Linked DNA regions of Nothobranchius furzeri. The protein of the gene in region 2 binds, or shares a complex with, the protein of the main gene of each other region. Links are inferred from orthologs where the notes say so. Each region holds a gene or a part of one and is shown on either strand. Other genes may lie near its edges.

Evidence for each region. Proteins that work in one complex are often made in the same cells at the same time.
Region 1: snrpe (region 2) and gpkow share a complex: the UniProt entries of both Homo sapiens proteins name them as parts of the minor spliceosome. The link is inferred for Nothobranchius furzeri from reciprocal best matches to the Homo sapiens genes SNRPE and GPKOW.
Region 3: snrpe (region 2) and dhx16 share a complex: the UniProt entries of both Homo sapiens proteins name them as parts of the minor spliceosome. The link is inferred for Nothobranchius furzeri from reciprocal best matches to the Homo sapiens genes SNRPE and DHX16.

Annotation. Positions count from the first base shown.
Region 1 is NC_091755.1:41,965,207-41,968,550, reverse strand, and holds the end of gpkow (G-patch domain and KOW motifs-containing protein), read left to right. Parts: intron 1-78; coding exon 79-283; intron 284-361; coding exon 362-494; intron 495-719; coding exon 720-873; intron 874-956; coding exon 957-1,077; intron 1,078-1,223; coding exon 1,224-1,293; intron 1,294-2,328; coding exon 2,329-2,414; intron 2,415-2,482; coding exon 2,483-2,605; 3' UTR 2,606-2,698; downstream 2,699-3,344. Other genes in the region: pqbp1 (polyglutamine-binding protein 1), read right to left, coding at 2,921-3,071. UniProt on the Homo sapiens protein: RNA-binding protein involved in pre-mRNA splicing. As a component of the minor spliceosome, involved in the splicing of U12-type introns in pre-mRNAs.
Region 2 is NC_091743.1:2,209,425-2,213,175, forward strand, and holds the start of snrpe (small nuclear ribonucleoprotein E), read left to right. Parts: upstream 1-1,238; 5' UTR 1,239-1,378; coding exon 1,379-1,432; intron 1,433-3,234; coding exon 3,235-3,261; intron 3,262-3,338; coding exon 3,339-3,401; intron 3,402-3,751. UniProt on the Homo sapiens protein: Plays a role in pre-mRNA splicing as a core component of the spliceosomal U1, U2, U4 and U5 small nuclear ribonucleoproteins (snRNPs), the building blocks of the spliceosome.
Region 3 is NC_091745.1:60,410,815-60,414,465, forward strand, and holds part of dhx16 (pre-mRNA-splicing factor ATP-dependent RNA helicase DHX16), read left to right. Parts: intron 1-2,029; coding exon 2,030-2,240; intron 2,241-2,315; coding exon 2,316-2,414; intron 2,415-2,626; coding exon 2,627-2,779; intron 2,780-3,651. UniProt on the Homo sapiens protein: Required for pre-mRNA splicing as a component of the spliceosome. Contributes to pre-mRNA splicing after spliceosome formation and prior to the first transesterification reaction.

The DNA of each region.
Region 1 (3,344 bases), on a different chromosome or scaffold from region 2:
CTGGAGCCGTGCCTACCTCCAGCTCCTGTTCACATCCTTCTCCGTATTGATTCAATGCTGTTGCTGCCTCTCCACCAGAGACGTGAAGCCAATCGAACACCAGCTCCGTCCAAAGGGCCTCGGCCTGGGAGCAGATCGCTCAGCGATAAAGGATCTGGAGCCCAGCAGACATCAGCGTCCCCCAAAGCCCGGCGAGGAGCGGGGGAAGGAGGAGGAGCTGCTGATGGGTCCTGGGGGCTGTGTGCTGGTGGAGTCGGGGGCACATAGGGATCTTTATGGGAAGGTAGAGCTTCTCCTCTCTCACCTGTTCACCAAGGTTTATCTTTAACAACCTTTCTCAAACTTAATTCCTGTGTGGCAGATCGAAGGTGTGGATGCAGACAACGCTCGGGTGGTGGTGAAGCTTGCTATCGGCGGCAAGGCGGTGACGGTCAGCCAGTACGGCGTCAGACTAGTGGGGAGGAAAGAATATGACAAGTACAGCAAAGACCTCAGTGAGAATTGTGCTTTTTATTCAAAAACTGGCACAGTCGATGAGAAAGCTGCCATCTTTCTCCTGAATTTACCGTCAAAGCGACGGCCCAGACAGTAAAGCACCTAAACAGATTAGGACCCACCTTGTGTTTACAGTAATCTGAAAGTACCGCCTCAGTCAGAATCCACGCTACATTGTTGACGTCCGTCCGTCATATTAATGTCGCCGCTTCTCCCCCAAACAGGTCGGCTCAGTAAAGCACACAAAGACAAGGAAAAGGAGCGAGAACGACGGGGTCGGGAGGAGAAAAGCATCGGCAGCAGCGACAAAGCTAAACATAAATCATCTGAAAGAGATGGAGGGAAAGACGAGAGGAAGAGGAAGCACAGAGAGGACGGGTACGCCTCCGTTTCAACTGGAATCACATCATTCCGCCGCCGTTGTTCAGATTAAAATAAATGCTGTGCTTTATCCTCTTCAGAGACAAGCCTCCAGTAAAAGAAGCAAAGAAACCTGCAGCGCCCCCCTCCTGGCTCCAGAGAGACATCAAAGTCCGCTTCATAGACAAAGCTTTCAAGGGGGGCAGATACTACAACTCAAAGGTACCAGGGCCCAGACAGAACCTTGAGTTTAAAGAAGCCCTTCTATGGAGCTTTCTGTTATTATGGGTACTTTTATGGTTCCACTTTGAAGTAATCACACGGATAAACTGTCAGGAGCAGCATCATTCCCAGATTCTCTCCCTCAGATGCGAGTGGAGGACGTCCTGACGCCGTTTACCTGCGTTTGTCGAACTGAAGAGGGAAGGGTGTTAGATGGTGAGTCACAATGCATTATGGGGGGGGGGGGGGTGACGAATGATGGTCCCTAATGGTTTTGGGTCTCCGTTTAAAGACCGGTCCAGTTTAAAAGATCAAGGCATAGATTTTACTAATAAAGTCCAAATGGATGCAGTCAGGAGGAAAAGGCTCGTGGGAGCGACATGAGTCGGCACGGAGAAGCTAAGTGGGACGCAGTAGGCTTTATTATCGCCCCTTTTACAACAAGGAGCATCCATTTATTTATTCCACTTGACCAATCTTTTATGTAGATCACAGGAAATACGGCTGCAGGTCTTTATGATGCCTTTACCCTCGTTATCTGCAGCAGGTTCCAGCGTCTGACCCACAAACATCGCTGGTTTACCTACAGTTCAATTCAATTCAACTTTATTTATAAAGCGCCAAATCACGACAAGAGTCGTCTCAAGGCACTTCACTTAATAAAAATTCCAATTCAGGTCAGTTCATTAAGCCAATCAGAAATAATGTTTCCTATATAAGGAACCCAGCAAATTGCATCGAGTCACTGACTAGTGTCAGTGACTTGATGCAATCCTCATACTAAGCAAGCATAAAGCGACAGTGGAGAGGAAAACTCCCTTTTAACAGGAAGAAACCTCCAGAGAATCCTGGCTCAGTATAAGCAGCCATCCTCCACGACACACTGGGGATGGAGAAGACAGATTACACACACACACGGACAAGTAATGTGTCTACAGACGGCTGGCTCTAGGAGACGGGACTTGTTTTCCGTTTTAGACTTGTGGAGATGAGGGGTGTTTGGAGTAAAGTCGACGTGGCAGCGGCTGACACCACGTGCACTGATGAGTCGAGGTCTCGCGTGTTTTTAGGATTTGACTAGAACGGCTCTAACCCTTTAGGGTGACATGCATTCCTGCAGGGATGCTGGGACTTTTAGTGGGAGACTAATCGGTGCCTTGCAGAGAAGCATAAGATGTCATTGTGCAGGTAATTAGTGTTCATGTAATTATCTCCTGGCTGCTGCCATGGTAACCGTTTTAACTGTGCCAGATGTGAAGCAGGACATGCTGGAAACCATCGTCCCTAAAGGCGAGTACGACTCTGTGATGGTTGTGCTGGGGGAGAACAGGGGCCAGGTGAGCAGATGATCCTTACTGGTTGTGTAATCATAACCGTCGCTGACCAGCTTCTCTGGCTTGATCAGGTGGGCCGGATTCTTCAGCGGGACAAGAACAAGTGCAGAGCCACGGTCCAGCTGGACAGATGCGAGGAGGAGCTGTTCACGCTGGATTACGACTGCATTTGTCACTACGTAGGAGACCACTGAAGCCTGGTCCTTCGCCTCGTCTTAAGTGTTGCTTTTCTAATGATGGACAGTATTTTAACACTTTGGAATTTTTAATAAAACCTTGGAAAAGTGTTTGTGCAGGCGTTCTTACAGTTACGACGAGCCCCAGCAGATGCTTTTCTCACCAGAGTAAGAACTGATTATGTTAACTGGTGGTTCTAGTAACAACATGAAATCCATTTTATTATAAAACATATTTACAACAAGTTTGATCTCTAAAATGTCAGCATGCGACATCACGTCTAACAACAAGAGGTGTGCGCAGGACGCAGAGCGTCTCCGTGGGAGCGCTTCTCATTCCTTGGGCGGTTGGTTGGCAGCGTTGGCCCGCAGCACCGCGCCTGGACTCGGGTACGGCCGCTGCTGGAACAGCGGGCCGGCGGCTGTGGTGTCTGCACCGGTTTTGGCCTCGTTGCGTTTGGGAAGACCACTCGACCAAGAGCCCCTGTGGAAAACAGTTCAGCAGACCTTTAGAGTGGGCCAGCTTGTTTGCTAACGCCTGGTTGTTTAGCTAGCGCTAGAGCCGTTTCAGCTGGTTAACTTGACCGTTTCGTGTATTCAGCAGACGCGTTTGTCCAGAGTGACTCACAAATGAGCGTTTTTACACACAACACAAATGTGTTGGGCTGTTCTGCAAAAAAAACCTAAAGTTCTGACTTCAGTCGACAGGACAAACCACAGAACCCGATCCCTTTAGTACCCGTTTCAGCCAGAAGCC
Region 2 (3,751 bases):
AACTCACACTGCAGCAGCTCTGCCATTTTAAGATGCAGCAGAGGCATCCTGGTCCTGAAAGGCGACACCTTGGCCTGCACCACCAAGGGTCCTTGCCTTCCCCCCCACTCGCAGAGACTTGTCTGTCCTCGGCTGCTAATTATCAACCCACTTTCTCCTCTGTGAGGCAGGGACAAGCCTGTGTTGCATGTTATTAATACTATTGTGAACTACTCAAGGCTGTGTTCCTTGACTCGGCTCATCATGTTACAGGTTTACTGTGCACAACAGAGAAATGGCAGACCCCGTTTTTTATAAAACCACCTATAAATATCACGGGGAACGGCTTTGTCCAGCAATGGTCAGATTCAGGATTTAAAGGCCTTCTTCCTGGGAAAAGAGGGGCTTTATACACATCAAGATGAGGAATTAACTCTGTTTTTGTCCATCTATTAACCAAGTCTCATATTTACAAATGGACTGTAAAATCTGGAAAGTGACACAGCCCCATCTAGAGGCCAAAAGCCCCAGACTGACGACACACTACAAAATATACGCATACAACTTTGTTTTGACCCCCAGGAGGTATGAGCTCAACTCAACAAGCCAATCACGTGATCGGATCTAATCCTGGAACAACACCTCTGGGGACACAAAAGCCATCCAGACCACAGAGAAAAAACCCAAACCCATCAGACTTCTGACTACGTAATCAGATCTAAAGGTCTCAGAAAAAAGTCTGGCAGACAAAAGGAGCTCAGGAAAAGTTTAGTCAGGCTACAAGACCTTTTTTCTGAGACCTTTGATGCAGTGCGGCCTGCTCACTGCCTGCTACTCCCGAAGAGGAAGCGAGCCTTTGTCACTCACTATCCATCAGTCATCATCCAAGACACGGCTGAAGACGCTCTTCTATGATTTGGCTTTCAGATTGTGACTTTTTAAAGTTCTCTTTTATTGTGTGTTTGATTGTAGTTTTTATCTGCTTTTATTGGCTGATTTATTGGTGTTTTTATGAGTTTTATTGTTACTGTATTGTTATGCGCATTTGGTCAGCTCCCATGCTGCTTTTAAATGAAATAAATAAATTGGTACGGTATGAAGTCAGAAGTCTGATGGGGTTTGAATGAAACCTGCTTTTTTCCCTCCATGCTCTGATGTCTGGCACCTGAGGGTGTGCTAAAACGAACAGGCTGCTGCAGTAGAGTCCTCCGTCCTGCGGAGGCGCTGTTCCGTTGCTGTTTGTTAAAAATCGGTTAATCAGACCGGTTAAAGATCCTGCTCGCGCGGAAACCTGCCATTGTAGCTAGCTCTCAACGCGGGTCAAACGTTAAGGTGCATTTGGTCCAGAAGGTGCAGTTTTTGTTTACCGAACACATTTCGTTGGTGTTTTGCTGGAGAGATGGCGTACAGAGGACAAGGACAGAAGGTGCAGAAGGTCATGGTGCAGCCCATCGTATCCTTTGTATGATGGAGAACGCGTGAGTGGAGCTAGGTGTTTAGCAGCCTGGCTAACCGGTGGCCCAGTTCGCTGAACGAACGCGCGGATTCCGTTCCAACTGTGTGATTCTGGTGTTTATGAAAATTAATGAGATGATGCACGTGTTCCGCATCATGTCGGAGAAAAAGAAACGGCCCCGAGGCGAACTTAGCAGCAAAACTAGCGCCGCTAATGCTAATGGCTCCGGTTAGCTGTACCGCTGGAGGTGATGGGAGCTTCTGATCTCCTGAAGCATCGGTTATCCAGAGTACTTTGTAGGACTTTGCAGTTGTAATCGAAAAGGTTCTGAGGACGCCATTGTACAGCTGCCCTCCGACCTCTTCGGGAAATGGCTAAAGGGCAAATTATTCTCTACTCTGACCACCTTTAATCTGCTCTAGCTCGAAAACGACACCACCTGCGCTCTTCAGCCCTGTACTGCAATATCCTAGACTAATGGCAGGTTACTCGAACATAGTTTAAATAGTCCATGATTCATCACATGTGAATTGGATGAACTAAACATTGAAGTTGGACGGTGAAGTTCTGAGTTTTAATTTTATTTTTGGTATTTTACATGAAAAGTTAAAGTCTGTTTATCTGCAGCACTTAATAGCTGATCAGTTTAATCCTGATCTTAATGGGCTTTGTAAACAGTTAGGCTCTGGTCATTTCTCATGTTTAACATTTTATTATCGGGTGAAACACGGGTCGCATTACCAATTTGGATTTTAATATTTAATTTCTACAAGATATACAGTCAGCAGCTATCAGATTATTAGAATTTAGAGTGAGCTGTTTAGCTGAATCCTTCTAACGAAGTGCCCCTAGTGCACACGCGATAATGAATCTTAAGTATACCTTGTTAGATACATGAGCTCCTTAAGGGCTCCTCTACTGAAAAGTACTTTTAAAGCCTGAATTAAACATCTGTCATATTTGAAACAGAGCTGTGAAACCAGGGACCACAAAAAGGTATTAAATGGCCTTTTAAGTAAAGCTTTCACAAATATCAGAGTTGATTTTAATTGTTCTGCTACCAGTGCAGAATAATCCAGTACAGGTTTGAAATGTCTAGGTATTGTTGTTTTGAAACTATGGCTGTTCAGTGTGGTCTAGATGCAGAAAACGTGCTAAAATCTGGTTTCTTGAAGTTTCACAAATCAGAAAAAGGTTTTACAAATCACAAATGATGTTTTTTGCAATCTGCTATTAGTCTAGAATAATCCAGTTCAGGTTTGAAGAGTGCAGGTGTTGTAGTTTTCCAGCCAGAGCAGATTAAAGATGGTCAGAGAAAAATTGGGCGTAATTGCCCTTTAGCGGTTTCCCGGATCTGAAGCCAACTTCAGCCTCGTCTTCCTCAGCCTTTGTGGTTTATAATAACAATAAGTGTAAACATGTTTGTTTGGGTCTAACTAAAGTAGAGTCGGTCAGTGGCATTGGCCCGAACACGAGCAGAACTCCTCTGTGCCGGGTCGGTTACATTGAGATTGTTTGGAGTGGAACCTGTAAGTGAAACCTGAATGAAGGCACGGCCCGAGATGTCCGACCATCAGTCCCAGCCCCGCTGTCATTTATTTTCAGGACATGGTTACCAAATCCTATGTACTGATTTTTATGTTGGCAGCTGCTGAGTGTAACTCTGTTACTTTAAAATGTAATAAGTTACTTTTAATGGCAATGAATAAAGGTAACACTACAACTGAGTACAAATGTAGGCTACAGACGTGCGTGTACTGTTACTGCTGAGCGTTGGTTTTCCTTGACTCTACCTTCAGAACCTTATCTTCAGATACCTTCAAAATGTAAGTTGCTATCCCTTTAGTTTGAAATGGTTTTATTTAGATGAAGAACCTCTAAGTTGTTCCCTGCCTGTCCCCAGCGCTCACGGATCCAGGTGTGGCTGTATGAGCAGGTCAACATGAGGATAGAGGGCTGCATAATCGTAAGTAATGGCTTTGTTTCATTCTTCCTTACCTCCATATGCAACAGGGATGCCTGATAGGTTATCTGCTGCTGGATACCCACGTGGATGGGCTGTTTTTCAGAGTGTTTTCAGGGCCTGTGAAAGGATTTTTTTAACTTTAAAAACTCACCTCACACGGCCCAGAGTTTCTCTAAAACTCATATTAAATATTGAACTTCCTCCGTGCCGTATTGTTCGTTGTAGGATGAAAACTTTACACTTGTCCTGCGGGAAAAGTTCAGCAGGTTCTTTTACGTTTTTGCTGCATTACAGCCTCATTTGGGTCCTAGTCCTTGATCTCTGGAGAACACAGCTGCACCATGAGAATA
Region 3 (3,651 bases), on a different chromosome or scaffold from region 2:
CTTGGTAGTTGATGAAGGTGATAAAACGCTGATTTAGGCAAAGACTGAACCGGTTAGTCCCACACAATTTGCGAGCCTGTCGAGGAGTACGTTGTGGTTCACTGTGTCAAAGGCTGCACTGAGGTCGAGCATCATCAGGACAGATGCTTTACCTGTGTCAGTGTTGAGACGAATGTAATTTAATACCTTGATCAGTGCAGTCTCAGTACTGTGGTGCTGTCTAAAACCTGACTGAAAACCATCCATAATATTACTTGACTCCAGAAAATTTTTTAGTTGGATCATTGCTCCTTTTACATAATTTTCCCGATCAGAGGGAGATTAGACATCAGTCGGTAGTTGCTCATCACTGAGGGATCTAGTTTCCTCTTCTTTAGAAGGGGTTTAACAGCAGCAGTTTTCAGTGGTTTAAGAAAAATTCTTGACATTAAAGAGCAGTTAACAAGAGGTTAATGAATCCCAGTCTTCAAGTCCCATCATCATCAATCTGGTCTGAATTTTCAGCTCAAACAGGAGAAGTGAACAAAGGTTCGTTTCTCAGATCGTCTCATGACAACTTCAGGTTTTTACTCTGATTACAAGCTGAAGCTAACAAAACAGCCGCCTCAGCATAAATTAGCCTCCAGCCCAAGTTTAGATTAGACATGGACCGATACCGCTGCCTGCATCAGGTCGGATGTCATCTTTTCTCTTCTGAAAAACGCCCCTGTCAGGTGCAGCAGAGCAGCGATCTCATCCAGGTGGAGGTAGGTCAAAGGGTGAAGTACCAGGTTGCTGACTGAAGATTTAATGATCAGAGATTAAACCAGATGTCAAGTCCAGATGTATTTATAAAGCACATTTAAATGGCAGCATCCGTTGCCCCAAAGTGCTGCACATAGGCAGTAAAAGTAAAGCATTAAAATTAAAAAGAGCCAACAGAAACATTAGAAGAGAATAAAATCACAGACTTTTAAGACAAAATACATTAAAAAAAAAGAATAAAACCGATCACATATAAAAAGAGTAAGAAAAGCCTGTGGCCTGTTGATTAGCACTGAAATGCCAAAGCATACTAATGTGTTTTCAAACATACTTTAAAAGAGGCGGTGGTATCAGCTGTCCTAACCCCTAGGGGCAAGCTGTTCCACAGGCCAGCAGCCATCACAGGTAAGGCTCTAGCACCCCTGGTTTTTAACCATTATCTGCAGATGGAGGTCAGCTGATCTCAGCGTCCTAGATGGGACATATGGCTGAATAAGTCCGCAGAGATATGGGAGAGCCAACCCTTGTAGACATTTAAAAACCAACAGCATTATCTTAAAATCACTCCCAGACTTAACAGGAAGCCAGTGAAGACCAGCCATAATAGGAGTGATGTGATCATACTTTCTTGTCCCTGTAAGAAGGCGAGCTGCTGCGTTCTCAACATAATGTGAATAAAGTTGCAAATAAATGATAAATGACCCGCACTTGTATAGCGCCTCTCAGAGTATGGACTCCAAAGCGCTTTACACTACAGTGTATCATTCATCCATTCACACACTGATGGTGATGAGCTATGATGTAGCCACAGCTGCCCTGGGGCGCACTGACAGAGGCGAGGCTGCCGAGCGCAGGCGCCACCGGTCCCTCCGACCACCATCAGCAGGCAAGGTGGGTTAAGTGTCTTGCCCAAGGACACAACAGCAGAATTCTCTGTCCGGAGCCGGGATCGAACCTGCAACCTTCCGATTACTGGACAACCCGCTCAACCTGTTGAGCTACTGCTGCCCCAATAGGTCAGGAAGAACATAGACCTTAATCCTACTAAGTAACCTCAGTTGGAAAAAGCTGCCAAGGTGAGAACTGAGTCAAAAACAACCCCAAGTTCCTAACTGAGACGACAGTAGGAGGAAAGATCTCCACGGCTGCTTTTTGACGGTGATCTCAGTCCTCTGGGTCAGTCTGGGAAAGTGTGTCAAACCATGCCTGCTCATCTTTAAGAACGAACACGAGCAAATGCTATGTTCAACGGGACAAATTCTAATCCTGGACTCTGTCCCCACAGCGTGGTCATCATAGACGAGGCCCACGAGCGGACACTCCACACGGATATCCTGTTTGGGCTGATTAAAGACATCGCCCGGTTCCGACCAGACCTGAAGGTTCTGGTGGCGAGCGCCACTCTGGACACAGAACGTTTCTCCTGCTTCTTTGATGATGCTCCAGTTTTCCGGATCCCTGGAAGAAGGTTTCCTGTGGATATCTTCTACACTAAGGTGAGTTTTCTCCAGCTGTGAAGAGCGAAGGACGAAGACGTTGATGATGAGACGTTTGTGTGTTTGGCTGTGAAGGCTCCTGAGGCCGACTACCTGGACGCCTGTGTGGTATCGGTCCTGCAGATCCACGTCACTCAGCCGCCTGGAGACATCCTGGTTTTCCTCACAGGACAGGTACAGTTACCCCGAGCAGGAGAGCTCCTGATCCAGATTCTCTGATTTATTAAAAAAACAGCAGAGACACAAGTGAGAAACTAACTTTAGAGCAGATCAGAGGCTAGAGACAGGACTAGGTGCTTGATGTTCTGATCTTTTGTTAGAGCGACCCTAAGGAGATGACCCAAAGCAGATGAATAAAGGTGTTTTTGTGTCTCTGCCTCCTGCAGGAGGAGATCGAAGCGTGCTGCGAGATGCTGCAGGAGAGGTGCCGGCGGCTCGGCTCTAAGATCGCCGAGCTGCTTGTGCTCCCCATCTACGCCAACCTGCCCTCCGACATGCAGGCCAAAATCTTCACTCCCACTCCTCCCGGAGCGCGTAAGGTGAGTCCGGCCCCTGGAAGCCGGTATTGTTTGCTAACAATGTGGCGGCGGAGAGAGAAAATCCCTGGAGCTCTAAGGTTTCTTCCGGGCTGCCGCTGAAGAAGTGTAACCAGAAATTCCTTTGAAAAACAGCCGGCTGCGTTCAGAATCTGATATTAATGTTTTCAATTGGTGTCTGACTTACTGACAGAAGAACCGCCCCGGTTCTGGTAAGCCGCTTCTCCGGTAAGGTCCTGTAGATCCTGTAAATCAGTGCTCCTTCCTCCCTGTAACAGGAAGTCTGGAAGGCTTCTGGACCAAACATTCTGAAAAGAAGCAACTTTGTTTTTGGTTTCTTAAATCCAAGTTTATTGAAAATTTAAAGAAAAACATGATTGTGTCTAAATAATACGACCCAGTCCCATACCTGACCCGTGGGACTGTCCATACCATGACAACAACACAGGGATTAGCCCAGAGTTGTTGATAAGGAAAGTCGGGATCCAGGAAACGTTCCCACATCCCATAAATCTTCTCACCCTAGAGGTGCTCGCTGATTAGCGGGTCGTTGGAGACTCAAACGAGGTTGTTGTTGTTCTAATGGAGCCAAAGAACAACCAGAGGCTTTGTCGGGATGTTTAGGGACTGAGGACAAGGTCTGATGATCCACCTGAGACCTGGACATATCTTCTCCACCAGCACCAAACCCTTGAAACCCTTTAGCTTTTTTTATATTCAGACACTCAGAAGTAGAAATATAATCCTAAACTCTGTAGCTGACAGTTGAGTTTGCCGCAGGCCGAACTCACGCCAGATTAAGGCAAAAAACAGTTGTAGAACATTCATATTTGCTGTCGAGACAGAAGAAAAGCAGGTGAAATAACAGTGAATCA